Linked DNA regions of Drosophila melanogaster. The protein of the gene in region 2 purifies or fractionates together with the protein of the main gene of each other region. This does not show direct contact. Each region holds a gene or a part of one and is shown on either strand. Other genes may lie near its edges.

Region 1 (6,982 bases), on a different chromosome or scaffold from region 2:
AACAGCTGACGAAATGGTTGTCTTTTGTTTTTCTGCTAATCGAAAATCGACGCAAATTACTTCAAAGCCTTGTCAATCAAAAAAAAAAAAAAAATACAACGACAAAAAAATGTCTTGATGTAAATGAGGAACTAACCGAAAAGCTGTTGATATTTCCAGTTAAGACGGCATGGGGCGTAAACGGGGCGTGGCCGCTAGCTTACAGCCAACATGAGCTGGAAGTTGGGCATTTGGCTTTCCATGGGTGAAAGGCGCATTAAAGTTTTTATTGATTGTGTTTCGTTCGAGGACTTTTCGTGGGCTCGATTGGTGGCCAACTGCCGGGGGCGGCATTATGGTTATGACCCGGACTGCCCCATGCCAATCCACTCCTCCCAGCACTCCGCCTCACCAACACCGCCGGCAAATTGAATTCCAACGAATGCGCTTAATGAAATAAAATGCAAGTTGCCGGGGCTATAAACGAAATGTGATCGATTATCGGGAAATTTCTTTCAATAACTGGCTATGTCGATAAGTGGAGTTTTCAAATGTCTAACTTGATTGGTTGGTGGATTGATTGAAGTGAGTTTTGAAAGATCAACAAATAAGAAAGTGAGAACATTTAAAAAAGGAAATTCAACTTAAATCTCATATAATATACAGTATACTTCAGATAAGCTCACTCTGTATATATAGAATATCCCCTTTTAAATAGAATAAAGTAGGCATATATCTGCGCTTGCATCTCTGCTAAAAATCATTCATGACTGCATCAATGGAAACCCCTGGTTTTTCCAGCCTACTCACTTAGGTGTAAACCCCTTAATTTATGCATTTGTTGCCGCCATGGCAATGGCACTGCACTCACCTGCCCGATTTGGTAATGATCATTTCAGTGCCCAATTCATGGAACTTATCCCACAGCTCCTTGGTCTCCAGGTGGCACTGGACGGGCGTGAGATCGTCGCAGTTGCACGAGCCCACTATCTTGGGCGTGGGCTGCTGTGGGCGTGGCATTGCCAAGAGAGATGAAAAAGAAGGAGTAGAGAATTAGGAGGCGATTTTAGTAGGACGCTCGAGGAGATGCATATTTCTTTCGCCACACTTAGTTGGTGATGCATACACACAAAGAAAATCATATCTACTATATATAAAATCTATTATATAAGATAATATAATATATAAGATAGGAAATAATCCTATATCAAATTTTTTGTACCTATATCTTATTTTATAAATTTTGCTAATAATACTTTTTGCTAGCCACTTTTTCTAGAAGCAAAAAGGATTTATGTCTCTGTGCAGCTTTACCTGGGCTGGTGATTCCTCTGGCGACAGGCGTTCGAGTTCCTCCGGACTTTGCGAGGGCGGGGGCGGCGGTGGCGAGGGCGTGGCAGCGGCTCCCACTGCGGCAGCAGAACGCCCTCGCTGGCTGCTTGATTTGCTGTTGGTGTTGCTGTTGCCTGAGTTGCTGCTGTTGTTGGTGTTGCTGCTGTGATGATTGTGATGTTGGCGTTGTTGCTTGCCAGTTGTTGCGTGGTGATGTGTCTGCTGCCTTTGTTGTTGCTGCTGCTGCTGTTGTTGCTGTGCAACACGCAATGCCTGACGCGCTTGTTGCTGCGCCTGCAATGCTGCCGCTGCAGCCGCTGCTGTTGTTGCCGCCGCTGCTGCTGCCGCAGTTGCCGACGGCATTTCCGAGTCACTGCAGTCGACCACATCAACGTCAACATCATCGTCCGCATCCTGGCCTGAATAGCGCTCCACAGATGCGGGACCTACACGACCAGAAATGAATGGGGGGCAGAATGCGTCAGTAACTAAGTCCCAATTATGGAAAAACAACTACTTGCAACTACAAAACACAATCATTAAAAATTAATGTTTGATACAAGTAACCAAAAATAATTAATATTAAATATAATGATACTTAGAGCTTATAAGTTTATAAAAAAGATTCCTACGAATTTCTAACAGTAAAGAATGTGTATTTAAGTATATCATTTCTTAACAGACATAAGTGCTAATTGTTTGTTGTCATATTAGAAGAGCATATTCTTTCAGTGCACTTAGAAAAGAGAGACATCAGCGTGGCTCGTTAATGTGGGAGTTGCTGCTGGGCTGCAACATGTTGCATGTTGTCGATGACGAGTCGCAACAGCAATGCCAACGAGAATCCAGTTCGCGACCAGATGCATTTTACAGATTACGCCAGAAATTCAATTATTTGCTCAAAATGCAATTTCATATGTTAATTTCGTGTGTATTTGTGTGCTGGCATTGCCAATGAAAATTGCCAATTGAAAGAGAATGGTGTGCACGATGGTGGGGGGGGGGTCGGTTTTCACACTAATGAATGCATCTGTTTGCGCTTTTGTCTCTGCCCAATTATGGCATCTAAATAGTTTTGCATTCAGAGTGTATATACAAATGCGATTATACATATATATGTATCTGCTCTGCGCCTGTCATGTGCATTTCCCAACCCCTTTGGCGCATTCAAATAGGCTTTGATTATTTTATTGCCGCGCATTTGCTGCAATTATCAAGTCATCAACGTTGCATTGTCATCAATATATAATTTATATTGCACAAAAAGGGCAGCAAAAAATGTGGAAAATATAGAAATGTAATGCAGCTGCGACAGTTTTTCAAGAGGTGGGTAATAAAGCAAGTGAATATTACTAAGCAATCGATTACATGACTCTTTACCAAAGCCAATGAAATATGTTTATATATTTTCCTAACTGCTTTACGTGTTTCTAGAAATATATAGAAATATCAACTACATTTCAATTTTCTTGCTAGCACACTAACCTACTAATTTGCTTTTGTTCTTCATCAAGTCTCAAGTATTCAAAGCCAATTTGCTACACATATATTTTTCTGGCAATGCATTTTGTTTCTGCTCTTATGTGTGATTTTATCGAGTTCTATTTCGATTTTGAGTGTACTTTCCTAATCTTGTATCTGAAATCTGAATTAAAAAATTCACATAAATAATACATAAATGTGATAATTGGCTCTTCGTCACAGCTTGATTATTTTCAATCATTTATCAAGCCTTTCATATTTTAATCCTGGATCGTAAATATTTATAGTTAAATCAGCAGACAAGCCCGTAACTTGGGATAAACATCAACATGCTAGATATGCCAGAGTTAAAATCTTTTCAAACTTTGACTGGCCAATTTATTAGTCTCAATCGAAAGAATGGAATATTGAATATGTTAATAGAGTGAAACTTGTTTGTAGTAAGGAGCTGAATATGAATTCAAGAATCATAAGAAACATACGTTCATGAATGAAGCGATGGGACTCAAATGAAGATTGGTTTTTAAGCTCGTTTCATGCAAACTAACGATATCAAGATACTTATTGTTCTGAAACCCAATCGAAAATGAAGCCCTAAAATGCATTGGCTATTTTTGAACAGCTCTTGAGTCTAGTTTGCGATGTAGGCCTGATATTTTAGTGCGGGAATTACTTTACTCACTCAGACTGCGTTCCGAAGGTTCGCGGCTGCTTGGGGCGTTTCCGCCGCGCGCCATAATCGCCGCAATTGAGAAATCCGTGGCGAAGGAAATGTTGTGCTGATTGTGATTGTGATTATGATGGTTGTTCAGCGGATGGTGATGATGATGGTTCTGATGATGATGATGATGGCTGCTGCCGTTGGCTATGTTCGCCGCTGCCGCCGCCGCTGCCGAAACAATCTGCTGCTGCAGCTTCGACTTGAAGTTCTGCGTCTGCGACGGCGAAGGCGTTTGCTGCGGTTTCGTATTCGCCGGCTGATTGCTCAAAAGCATTTTCGGGCCGAGACCAATTGGTAATGCTGCTGCACGGATTTTAGCCAATTCTTGCCAAATATATGCTCTCAAAGGTTTCGGACTTTCTTTCCCGCTTTTGTTGGTATTTTCTTTATCGTTTGCCTATTTGTTGCCCATTATTTGATATGTTTGTATTTGCATTAGTTCTACTATTTTGGGACTTGTTTGTTTAATGCTCTTTAAAATATTATATTCGGATTTAAACTGAATTCTTTACAATTTTCTTCAACATATTTGTTGATTTTTTGCCGGCTTTTGCTTTTAATAATTTAAACTGCTTTATCACACAGAGTTGCTTTGCTTCCTTTTTATATATGTATGTATGTTATTATTCTTGTGCCGTTTGATTTTTTATTAAATAATAAAATATTATAAAATTTGTCTAATTTTTTTTTGCAAATAATGTGTATTATTTTTTCCAACGTTTTACGACACACTTTGCGACTTGACGACTTTACGCCCGTATTTGCGGTCTCCGGTTTTTCGTGCTATTTATCGTAATTTGCGTATTCTCGAGTAGGAAACGGGAAATTCCGGAGCGCCGTCGCTGCTTCACAGTCACGCAGCTGACCATTGAATGAATCCCAATTCGCTTTTCGCCATGTAAACGCCAAAAGCGCCAAAGCCAAAGCCAACAAAACCAACAAAAAAACGCAACGCAAAAATCAACAACAAATACGAGGACGCCGACAGCGAAGCCAACTGCGACGTCGACTGACCCCCCAAAACAGAAACAACAACAGCTGATGTGTCTTACGGCGAAAGGTTTTCAACACCACGTAACGCGACGTAAGGAAACATTTCCAGAGAACATGGCCCGAAACTTTCCTTACGTGACGTAGGCAAACCGCCAGTTTAAACCGCAAAAGAAATATGGGAAAAAATACGGTTTTCAATTAGACTGGTGTGAGCGAGATGGCCACACATGCAGTGCATTCCCATGCTGCTTGCAGCGACGTCGGCGTCGAGGCATAACTCATTTCCATTTTCCAATTCGAACACACATTCCCATGCACTCAAAACAATACCAATTCATAAGCTAGCCGCGTGTTAGAGCGAGACAACTCTATATAGCCGTATTTGAGTGAGAGCCTTTTGTTGCTGCCATCTCACTCGTGCCGCTAGAAGCAAGGGAGCGCGAAAGAGAGCGCGCTGAGGAGTTCATAAATTCGTCATTTTGTTTTTGGCTGTTGACAGTTCTTTGCTTCATTGTTGTTGTTGCTATGGTGAGTGTGAGTGGATTTTGTTGGTCGGGGTTGGGGGTGTGTTTCACCGCTTTTCGTCGACTATTTACAATTATTCTCAACTCGGTCCGATTCCATTCCGTTTCTCATTGGCTATTCACCACAGCGCACTGAGTTGAGTGGAAAAGCGAGTGAGTTTCGTTCTAGTTACGTTTACTGTATAAATTGAGAATATTGAAAAATTCTTTTAATAATATTTAATTTCATGGTATCTCTGAAATTAATATTATTGTTCTTGATTACATATTTTTTAAGTCTTAAATAAACGATTTTATATTAAGAACTAACCTATAACATTGAAATGAATGTTTTATAAACATAACCTTATAAAGCATATTTAAACATGGTAGGGAAATCTATAAAATTCAGGAGAGGAAATTAATGTAAAAAATGAACAAAGGGGTTATCCCGCATTTGCCATCATTTTATTGTTTGCCAGCATTTTATGTAAAATATTTCGAAATGTTTTCTGTTTCCACATTTTTCTCATTTTATTCAAAAAAATTGTACAATTTTGAGCTATGAAAAATGTATTGAATTGTTTCGTTACAAGTTGTATTTTCACCAAATTCCAAGAAAAATATATTTATGTATTTGTATTCTTGTAATTATTCATTCCCTTTAAATGTCCTTTAAACATCCTAACCATCACCCTATAATTTTCCAGACCGTCAAGAGAAAAAACAAAAAGTCCTGCGACAGGACTTATCTGAGAAAGTGTCTCGTGTGCTGGGTCCTCCAATTGAAAAATCATAATTGAATATCTGGGTTCCTGGCACTCCTCCCTTTTGTCCGCCCACCGGCGTATGTAAATGTTTTTAATTTAAATGTTTGCTCAAAGGAAACAACAAAAGATGGTTGGAAAAAAAATGCGACTATGGCGTGTGAACGCAGCAGAAAATTATAGACCCATGGAAAAGGGAGGAAACTGGTGGGGTGAGGGGAAGGGGCTCTGGTGGTGCCACCATCTTGTTTCCCTCCGTCAGACTTTTTTCACAATTCGTCAGCTGCGCCCTTCGTCCTCCTAGGATGATGTCCTCTTTTCCCAGCACTGCGAGAAAAGTTGAATAATTTCGCTACATTATCGAAAGTGTAAACTATTTAAATTTTATGTCTTGTATGTTCTGGTTACAATACATTTATCTTAAAATTTAGTTTTGGTAACTTTTATATTAAAGTTTACAACATATTGATATGAATGTGTTTATTATCTAAATATTTAATAAAAATGTTTAGTCTCAAATGCAAAATTTAAATTCAAAATGCGTCTTATTTTAGTTTTCCCAGGTGTAATCGTTGTTTTTGTCTCTGCGGTTTCATTTGCATGCGATTCGTGGTTGCCAGCCGATGTGGCGCACAATTGAGCCACTAATGGTGATGTTGATGGTGGTCGGATCGGTGGAGGGAGTACATTCGGCTATATGTGGTATCTGGAGTATAGGGATACAGACAGGGTGGGCCGCAGCTCGCTTTGTTTGCTTTGTCGCGGCTCGGTGACAATTTTTCAATGATTTGTTTCCTGCCCTGAAATCTCATTTGCATATGCCACCATATTTTTTCAACTTTCCAGGTTTTTTTTTGGGGGGGTTTTCCCTGTTTCTATTCCTGCTCCTGCCCTTGCTCCTTTTTTATATATATATTTTTTTTTTCAGGGGGAGTGAAAAATTGCAATCGCTTTGTTTTTGTTTTCTTTGTGGGCTGGTCTCGGACAATTTGAATTTGATTTAATGAAATTAAGAGGGCGTGTTTTCCTAATAGTCATTTCTTTAAATAGTTTTCAACGATTTTCGTGGAAATCAACGAGCTAATGAAGTTCGTAAAGTGCGGAAATGCGTTTGGAGTTAATTGAGAAATTTCAACTTTTATTAAAACACCCCCTTTTTATGTTATTTTATGGGAGATTTAAACCTTGATATTTAGATTTAAAAA
Region 2 (7,275 bases):
TAGAGTTATCGCGTGTATTTTTCGGCTTGTTTCCCAAATCTGAATTTTCCGGGCTGAGCTTTCGCTTTATTGTAATGTAGCGGTCCATTCCAGTCTGCCAGGTCGACCCAGCTTTTTTGTTTACGTTTTCGTTTTGTTTTGCTGGCAGTGCAGCAGTACCGTTTATTGCTAGCGGTTTTGCTTTCGCTGACTTAGTCAGACCGTGAGCGGGTGCAGCCGATGACGAGGCAGAGCGGGCTGCCGGTCCCTCTCCAGCTGTTGTTGTTGGAGGTAGCGGGGCTTCTGTCGGAGCCAATAGAGCGGGAGAGCAGGAGCGCGCTCTTTCTTGATTTGTTGGTAGAAGAAGGTTTCCTGGGCTATGGGTTATTGACCGCTCGATGTCTGCGTTTGGGATTGTCGGTGAGACGTAGGAGAAGTACGCGTTGTTGCGCTGAATTGAGAGTCGGCGTTCGTCATGCTCGCGCTGACGCTGGGCGCGAGTGTCATTCTGACTCATAGTTTTATTATTTAAGATAACAATTCACTATGTATTTAAGCGATCTTGCATCGCATAGAGCGTCTCTTTCGCTTTCAGATTTTTTATTTAGTTTATTTTATTTGGCGTTCACTTCACTCAAAACAACCGATTTTGTGCGGAGCACGATAAAAACGTCTTCACACGTCGGCGATCGAATTAATGAAATAGTAAGTTAGCGTACATTTGGTTTATATCTAAACTTCAATAATCTGGGGAAAAGAATAAAGATAATTTGTGTTCGTATATTTCCCTTTCCCGCTTTTAGTTTCAGTCCCCGAAATGTGATGCTCTTCGGCATGATCACGCAGATATTTTGTGGTAACCTCACGGGGCACGTGGCCTCCTACGAGCTCCACGTGTTCTTCCGGTGCCTCTCCGCCGTTTGCTGTGCCCAGATGTACACGGCCGGAGGCCAAATCAGTAAGTGGCAAGACTTAGTTTAAATGTAAATGGATATGTCTAATGAATTTTTAATTATTTGCTCCTTACTACAGTGGCCGACATAACGGGGGGAAAGTACCGAACTTGCGTCTCCACACTCTTTGAGCAGTTCTGGTCTATTGGGGTAATGATGTTGCCCGGAGTTGCCAGCTTCTGGTCCAGCTGGTCCCACCTCTACATGGCCATCTCGTGGCCAACTGTGATACTAATCTATCTGTGGCAGTGAGTAATCAAAAACAGATATTGATAGCAAACTCATAGAGTTAGAGGGTTATCTAGATTCGCATAAGTAACGTATTATAAGTAACCCTCATAAAATACATTTATTATCAGGATTACTAGCCCAAAAAGGAACTGCTGTGCAGCATTCATGTGTACCAACATTTTGTGGCCCATACTGACACTTGCGTCTCGCATCCCTTTTACAGGTGGATTCCCGACTCGCCGAGATGGCTTATCGCCCGCGGACGCACACAGGACGCCAAGAAGATCTTGCTGGAGTGCGTGGAGGTGAATGGGACGGGCTACAACCTACCGCACGACATCGACCAGCAGCTGGAGCTGCAGGCGCAGACCGCCATGGACGCTCCTCCGCCGAGTGGCTGGTGGTCGATGTGGAAGGGGGAGCGAGCGGTGCGACACATTGTGTGTGTGCACCTGGCCTGGTCGCTGTACATTGTGGTCTATTACGGCATGCTGCTCAACATCCGCTCCTTCAGTCGCGACCACCTGTACATTAACACCTTTTTCGCGGGCTTCAGCGAGATGATGGGCACTTTCTTCGGGCTCTTCCTGATTCTGAAAACCACCCGCAAGTGGCTGTGGACGGGACTCTTTAACATCGTGGCAGGATGCATTGCCTACTGCGGCTGGCTGGTCCCGAAGCCCAGCGTAATTGGGCTGGATCCGAATGTAGCCCTGCTGATGTGCTCTGCCATGGTCTCGAAGATGGCCATTTCCACTACGCTCAGTATACTGACTACCTGCACGGTGGAGCTGGTTTCCGATGACAAGAAGAAGATCACTTCCTTCTCCACGATTTGCTGGGCCCGTTTCTGGCTGCTGGGAGCGCCCTTTATTGGATCCACAGTGGTCTTCGGCCAACTCATTCCCCAGACGGCCTTCGCATCTCTGGCCATTCTCGGTGGCCTGTGCACCTCCCTGATCAGCAGTCCCAGGACCCATCCCATCTCAAGACCCTCCTCGCCTGCTGCACAGGGAACCCAAAACATCACCTCGCAGTTCACCATCATTGACGGCATGGACAACAAGGGGTACAGCCCCACCTCGAAGACCATCCACTCGAACAGCACTATTTTAAAACTAAACACGCCGCAATCGAATCTACCTCCACAACTGATGCCCGGCATTTGGACGACCAAGATAACCGAGGATGGCCCACCCATGTGAACTGCCTTCAGAAAGCGTGCGTTGACAAATTAGCGGTGTGTTTGGACTTAAGATATAGAAATTTTTCTATAGCCCAGGAGTGGAGCCTCTATGATAATAAATCATATGCTGAGGGAAAGAAGCAGATGTTCAAAAAGTTAAGATATTGCTAGATTCACAGCTATGGCCGCGATCTGGTTCACTTTGGTGGTGCTGTGACTTGTAAACTATAGTCTATACAATTTGTTAGCGGTATATACTATGCGCCCGCTTTATAAGTTTATGGGCGCACTTATTGTAAGACACATTAGCTATCCTTTTTAAGAGGAAGAGTCAATATATTACTAGAATTTTCGCACACTTTTGTAGTACGTACATCAACTTCAACCTAAATCGGAGTGCTCAAGTGAGAAAGTCTCGCGCACTTGAAAACAAAATTACCTTAGGCAACACTTAAGCTAAAGCTGTGGAATAGAATCCTCGAGCAAATTATTTTAAATGGATAAATAAGCTCGCCGACAAAACCCAAACCCATACATATATTTTCCATTACCTTTAATTTTAGGGATTAGTTTATTTAGGCTATCCTCAGAAGACCTTAAATCATTCAAGTCTGGGATAAGCTTCAGCGCAGCCATAATTAGTAGTCTCATAAGAAAGTAAGTCAGATGTGGAGCACACCTTGAGAAAAAGGAGAAAGCCCAGTATTAAGCAGTCACTATTGAACCAAATCAAAAACGTACCGAATCGAACCTCACTGCACAGACAAACCATCTTTAAATGGTGATCCTTCTAAAGGCCTGTGGTTCCACATTAAGTGATTGTGTTGTAAACACCTGGAGAGAATTTCATGAAAAGACATACGAGTAGTTACACAATAATTATATATTATGGACAACTTTTATTAATTACCTTAATCTAATAATACTAATTGATTAGAACAACAATAATATTAACCTACACATTGAATAATTTACATTCGTTACGTATTGTAATTATCAATTACCAAGCTAATTTAAAATAAAACAATTAGTAGTTTTCAGGCTCTACATAAATACACAAGGCATAAATTACAATACATAATATTTTTAAAGTTGCATCACCTAGTGAATACGCTTAGCAACTTGTTGAATGTTATCATATATTGGTTACTACATAAAAGGAAGTGTTATACATGGCAAAAGAGCAATATTTTTCTAATAAAGCATCATCATAAAAACGAATTGATTTATTTTTTATCGTTGTTTGTTTTTTGTTTAATTAACGAGGGATATCTGTTATATCGATAGAAATTGAAAAAAAATATATATTAAAACAAAAAGAAGTTTTAAATTTGTAGAAGTGTGGGCGGTTTGTGGGCGTCAGAAGGGGCGTTGCTTTTGTTGGTAAATCGGTACAAATTTACAAAACCAATAAGAAAATCAAAAACATTTCCTAAAAGTGTGGGCATAGCAATCTTTGGCAGTTTGTGGGCGTGGCAAGAAGTGTTCTGGCAAATCGATAGGACCGAAGTTTGGAACCTTCATGGCCAATCTCAACTTTCTAGCTCTTATACATGCGTACTAATGTACATACATAGTTCCTGAGATCTCGAAGTTCATACGGACATGGACGGACCGATCCTGGTTAAGAATAAATAAATACTTGTTCACTATTAGTTAAATTTCCAAATATATAACTTTTCGGAATCCCGAACGGTTGAGTCGTTGAGTTACGCGGTTGCATTACAATTCTCAGAAGGCAACAAAATAGGGTGACGGTGTTGCCAGCCCTAATAAAGAGAAACATAATCGTCGAGTAGAAGTGCTCTCGTTTATGGATTTAAGAGAATGAAGTGCCTAGTTTTATACTTTAATATTAAATATTTGGACTTTCTGCGCTAATAATACGGCAGACTCCGAAAATATGTACAATACGATGCATATAAATCGTTGTTATATAAGGTCACTTTCCGAAATATATTCCTATAAGTTATTCTTTATAAAAATAATATCAAACAACAACACATCTTAACTTTATTGTGATAAAAGATGATTTTACATTTCACTACATAAAAAAATTGAGCAGTCGTCACTACTTCAATACAACATATCCAATATCAATATTTTACTGCAGCGTGTCAAATGTTTGTTTAAAAAAGCGTATTAACTGTGTCAAATGTAAAATTTTTTTTGGCACAATAATGTACTTGAAAACTTTTATATGCGATCTACCTGTGTTATACTTTAAACTTTTGACTTGTACTCTTCAAGTATCGTGTGCTAGAAATATAAAATGCAGTATTATAATACTGTGTATATCTACATAAGTAGGTAGCAAACATTATATTCTCGGTGACAAAAGTGATTATGGTAATAATACCAAAGCTACTGTTCCCTTTTTAATTCCAATTCTTTATTTTGACCGACTTTCATTTACTTGAAAATTCGTTGAAAAAAAAAATAAAGAAAAACTTGGATTTTATTTAACCATTCATAGATCGAAATATTGTGTAAGTGCAATTAAATAATGTTATTAATAACATGCTAGGTAACATTTGCCCTCTGGTATTTTTTCCCTGCTGGCAATTTGGCCACACTGTCACTTATGCTTCTTCAAATTGTAGCGGCATTTTCGCCAAAGCAACGTTGGAAATTCGCGTCACCAATTTCATATTGCGATAAATAAGAGTTTTATCCGAAAACGTATAGCTTAACTGTGTCATCGGCCTGTAGAAGAGCGCTGCCTGCCGGGATACACATATGCCATGGAATTCGACGACGCAGAAAATGGCCTAGGAATGGGATTTGGTGGTCGCGGCGTTCTGCGGGAGATCAACAAAAACGATGGCGGCATTAAGGTAAGTTAATAGCTGGACTTGGAGGCGTGCTCCGTCCGCGATGTACCAATGCAGCCACTTTCGGCAGAGGCATAATTCAACTCACACGTCTACAGGTACATATGTGTGTGTTCGGTTATGTACTTTGTACATATGTGTGGGTATGCTGCGTCGCAGGCTGTTCTGCTATTTTCTTTATTCGCAATTGTTCATCGTAAATACATATGTACATATAAATTTCCATTATTCGCTGTTCCTATTAGCTCTGAGGCAGCTGTCGCGAACGAGAGTTCTCTAGTTGATCGGTGTCCGCCGGACATTGTCCATCCCAGGTGACCAGTTTCCCCGATCTGCCATAGCCATAGGAGAATGGGCAATAAGCCGGGCAAGACACGGAAACCGAGGGCCTTGTCCGGGAAAATTACCATAAAGGCGGACGACGGACGAGGGAATCGGGTATGCCAAGGGAAAATCAAAAGTTACTTATTCTTCCTTCTATATATTTGTCTCTTGAAATTTCCACTCTCCAGATGGTGCACTTTCCATTTAAAAATGCTAGTGTGTATCGCTATTATGCCAATAAATCAGTTGGCGGCTAACGGCTGCAAAATGTCAGTGCCTAATGCGGTTTACAGTCCAAAAAACGCCCATCTGAGGATTTAAGTTTGACTAAATGTCATTTAACTCCATCTTCCCTTTTGCCAACAAAAATGCTCATTATAAAGGATCTACAGATGGTTTCCACCCCTTTCCACATTTGCCTATTTTTAGATCAGTTTATAGTTGGCTCTTCCTCAATATTTGTTTTCTTTTATTTTCCTGAGTTCTATTGGATATTCGAATTGCAGCTTAAGGTTCAAATTCCACTTGTATTCTATTCTATTGTATTTATTGTGTTTTCTGAAATCAGTATACTCATTTGTGGCCACTATTTGGATTCCACTCAAGGCTTATATGCTTCAACAAACTACATTGGTTTTAAATTCACCCTGAGCCGGGAACCGTGTGATATCTTGTCACCTGTCGCGCGCTGCTTGGATAACGCTAGAGCCAACATCTAACTATTCCCCCCTCGTCAAGGCCCATCGTGTGGGATTCCGTTTCATTGCTTACATTTTCTCGCCAAACATGCAAAGTCAGCCGTTGGGCAATGTGGAGCTTGCAGATAGTGCGCCATGATGCGCAACAATGGCTGTGGGATTGCATGTCATCTGGGACCCACCAGGCCTCTACACTTGAAACAATGTGATGAGCCAAATCAACATATTTATTATTTTAGAGCACTCTACTTGCCTCTACTGGTATATCTTTAAGAGAAAGCATTTTGCAAATAAGACTGTTCTCCAAAAATCCTATGGAAAATGTGCAAAATAATTCTGTCATCAAAGCGTTGAATTTGCACCAAGTTCCTCCAGTTGATTTGCGAAGACAATATAAGCAGTCGGCGGTCGCCGTATTCTCGTATCCCATTTATTTATCCCCTTCTTTAAGTGTTTCGACTTATTTGCGGTGTCTTGCACTTTCACTGCTGCCTTTCAGTCTGAATTTCGTCTGAGGCCTGTATAGTTTTTCAGTTTTTCACTGCAGTTCAGTCAAAAAGGTTGTCAACTTGAGCCCGCTCTTTTGACATTATTATTTTATAAATGTTGCCCACGACCTCGACCGTTTCCAAAATGTATTTCATATATCTAAGAGAAGTGTGTTTAAATGGATCAAGTGTGTGTTGCCCTCTAGCTTCATAAAACCCAATATATTTTCTCGAAATAGAAAAGGGTAACTATTCCAACCATAGAAAGGATAAGATTTCATCTTCAGAATCACCAGCCAAGTCTATCTGGCCACTAAGACTTATATTATTTATATGCTAATAAAATCTTTGAAGGGTATATTTCTCGTAGCTCCAAAAGCTGAGTAATGGGTAGTCGAGAAAAACGACTGAGTTCTCTGTTGTTTTGATTTAATTTTCATTAGGAATATTTGTGCTTAAAAGTTCAGAGTATAACTTATCGGAACTATTTCAAGACTAAGGATGTGCTAAATAAATGTTTTAAGTTGGTATGAAATCCATAATGTGTAATATACAAAGGTGTCTCTAGCCGCCGTCTCACAT

The links. Proteins that work in one complex are often made in the same cells at the same time.
Region 1: the proteins of atms (region 2) and H15 purify together in Drosophila melanogaster (affinity purification with mass spectrometry, with the first as the bait; one large-scale study listed by BioGRID). This does not show direct contact.

The regions. Positions count from the first base shown.
Region 1 is NT_033779.5:5,401,686-5,408,667, reverse strand, and holds the start of H15 (H15), read right to left. Parts: upstream 4,389-6,982; 5' UTR 3,789-4,388; coding exon 3,476-3,788; intron 1,758-3,475; coding exon 1,294-1,757; intron 985-1,293; coding exon 851-984; intron 1-850.
Region 2 is NT_033777.3:4,746,702-4,753,976, reverse strand, and holds the start of atms (antimeros), read right to left. Parts: upstream 3,943-7,275; 5' UTR 3,923-3,942; intron 3,569-3,922; exon of another isoform or gene 3,184-3,568; 5' UTR 3,091-3,183; exon of another isoform or gene 3,029-3,090; 5' UTR 2,901-3,028; exon of another isoform or gene 2,369-2,900; coding exon of another isoform or gene 1,387-2,368; intron 1,181-1,386; coding exon of another isoform or gene 1,012-1,180; intron 938-1,011; coding exon of another isoform or gene 783-937; intron 1-782. Other genes in the region: CG44098 (uncharacterized protein), read left to right, coding at 783-937, 1,012-1,180, 1,387-2,368.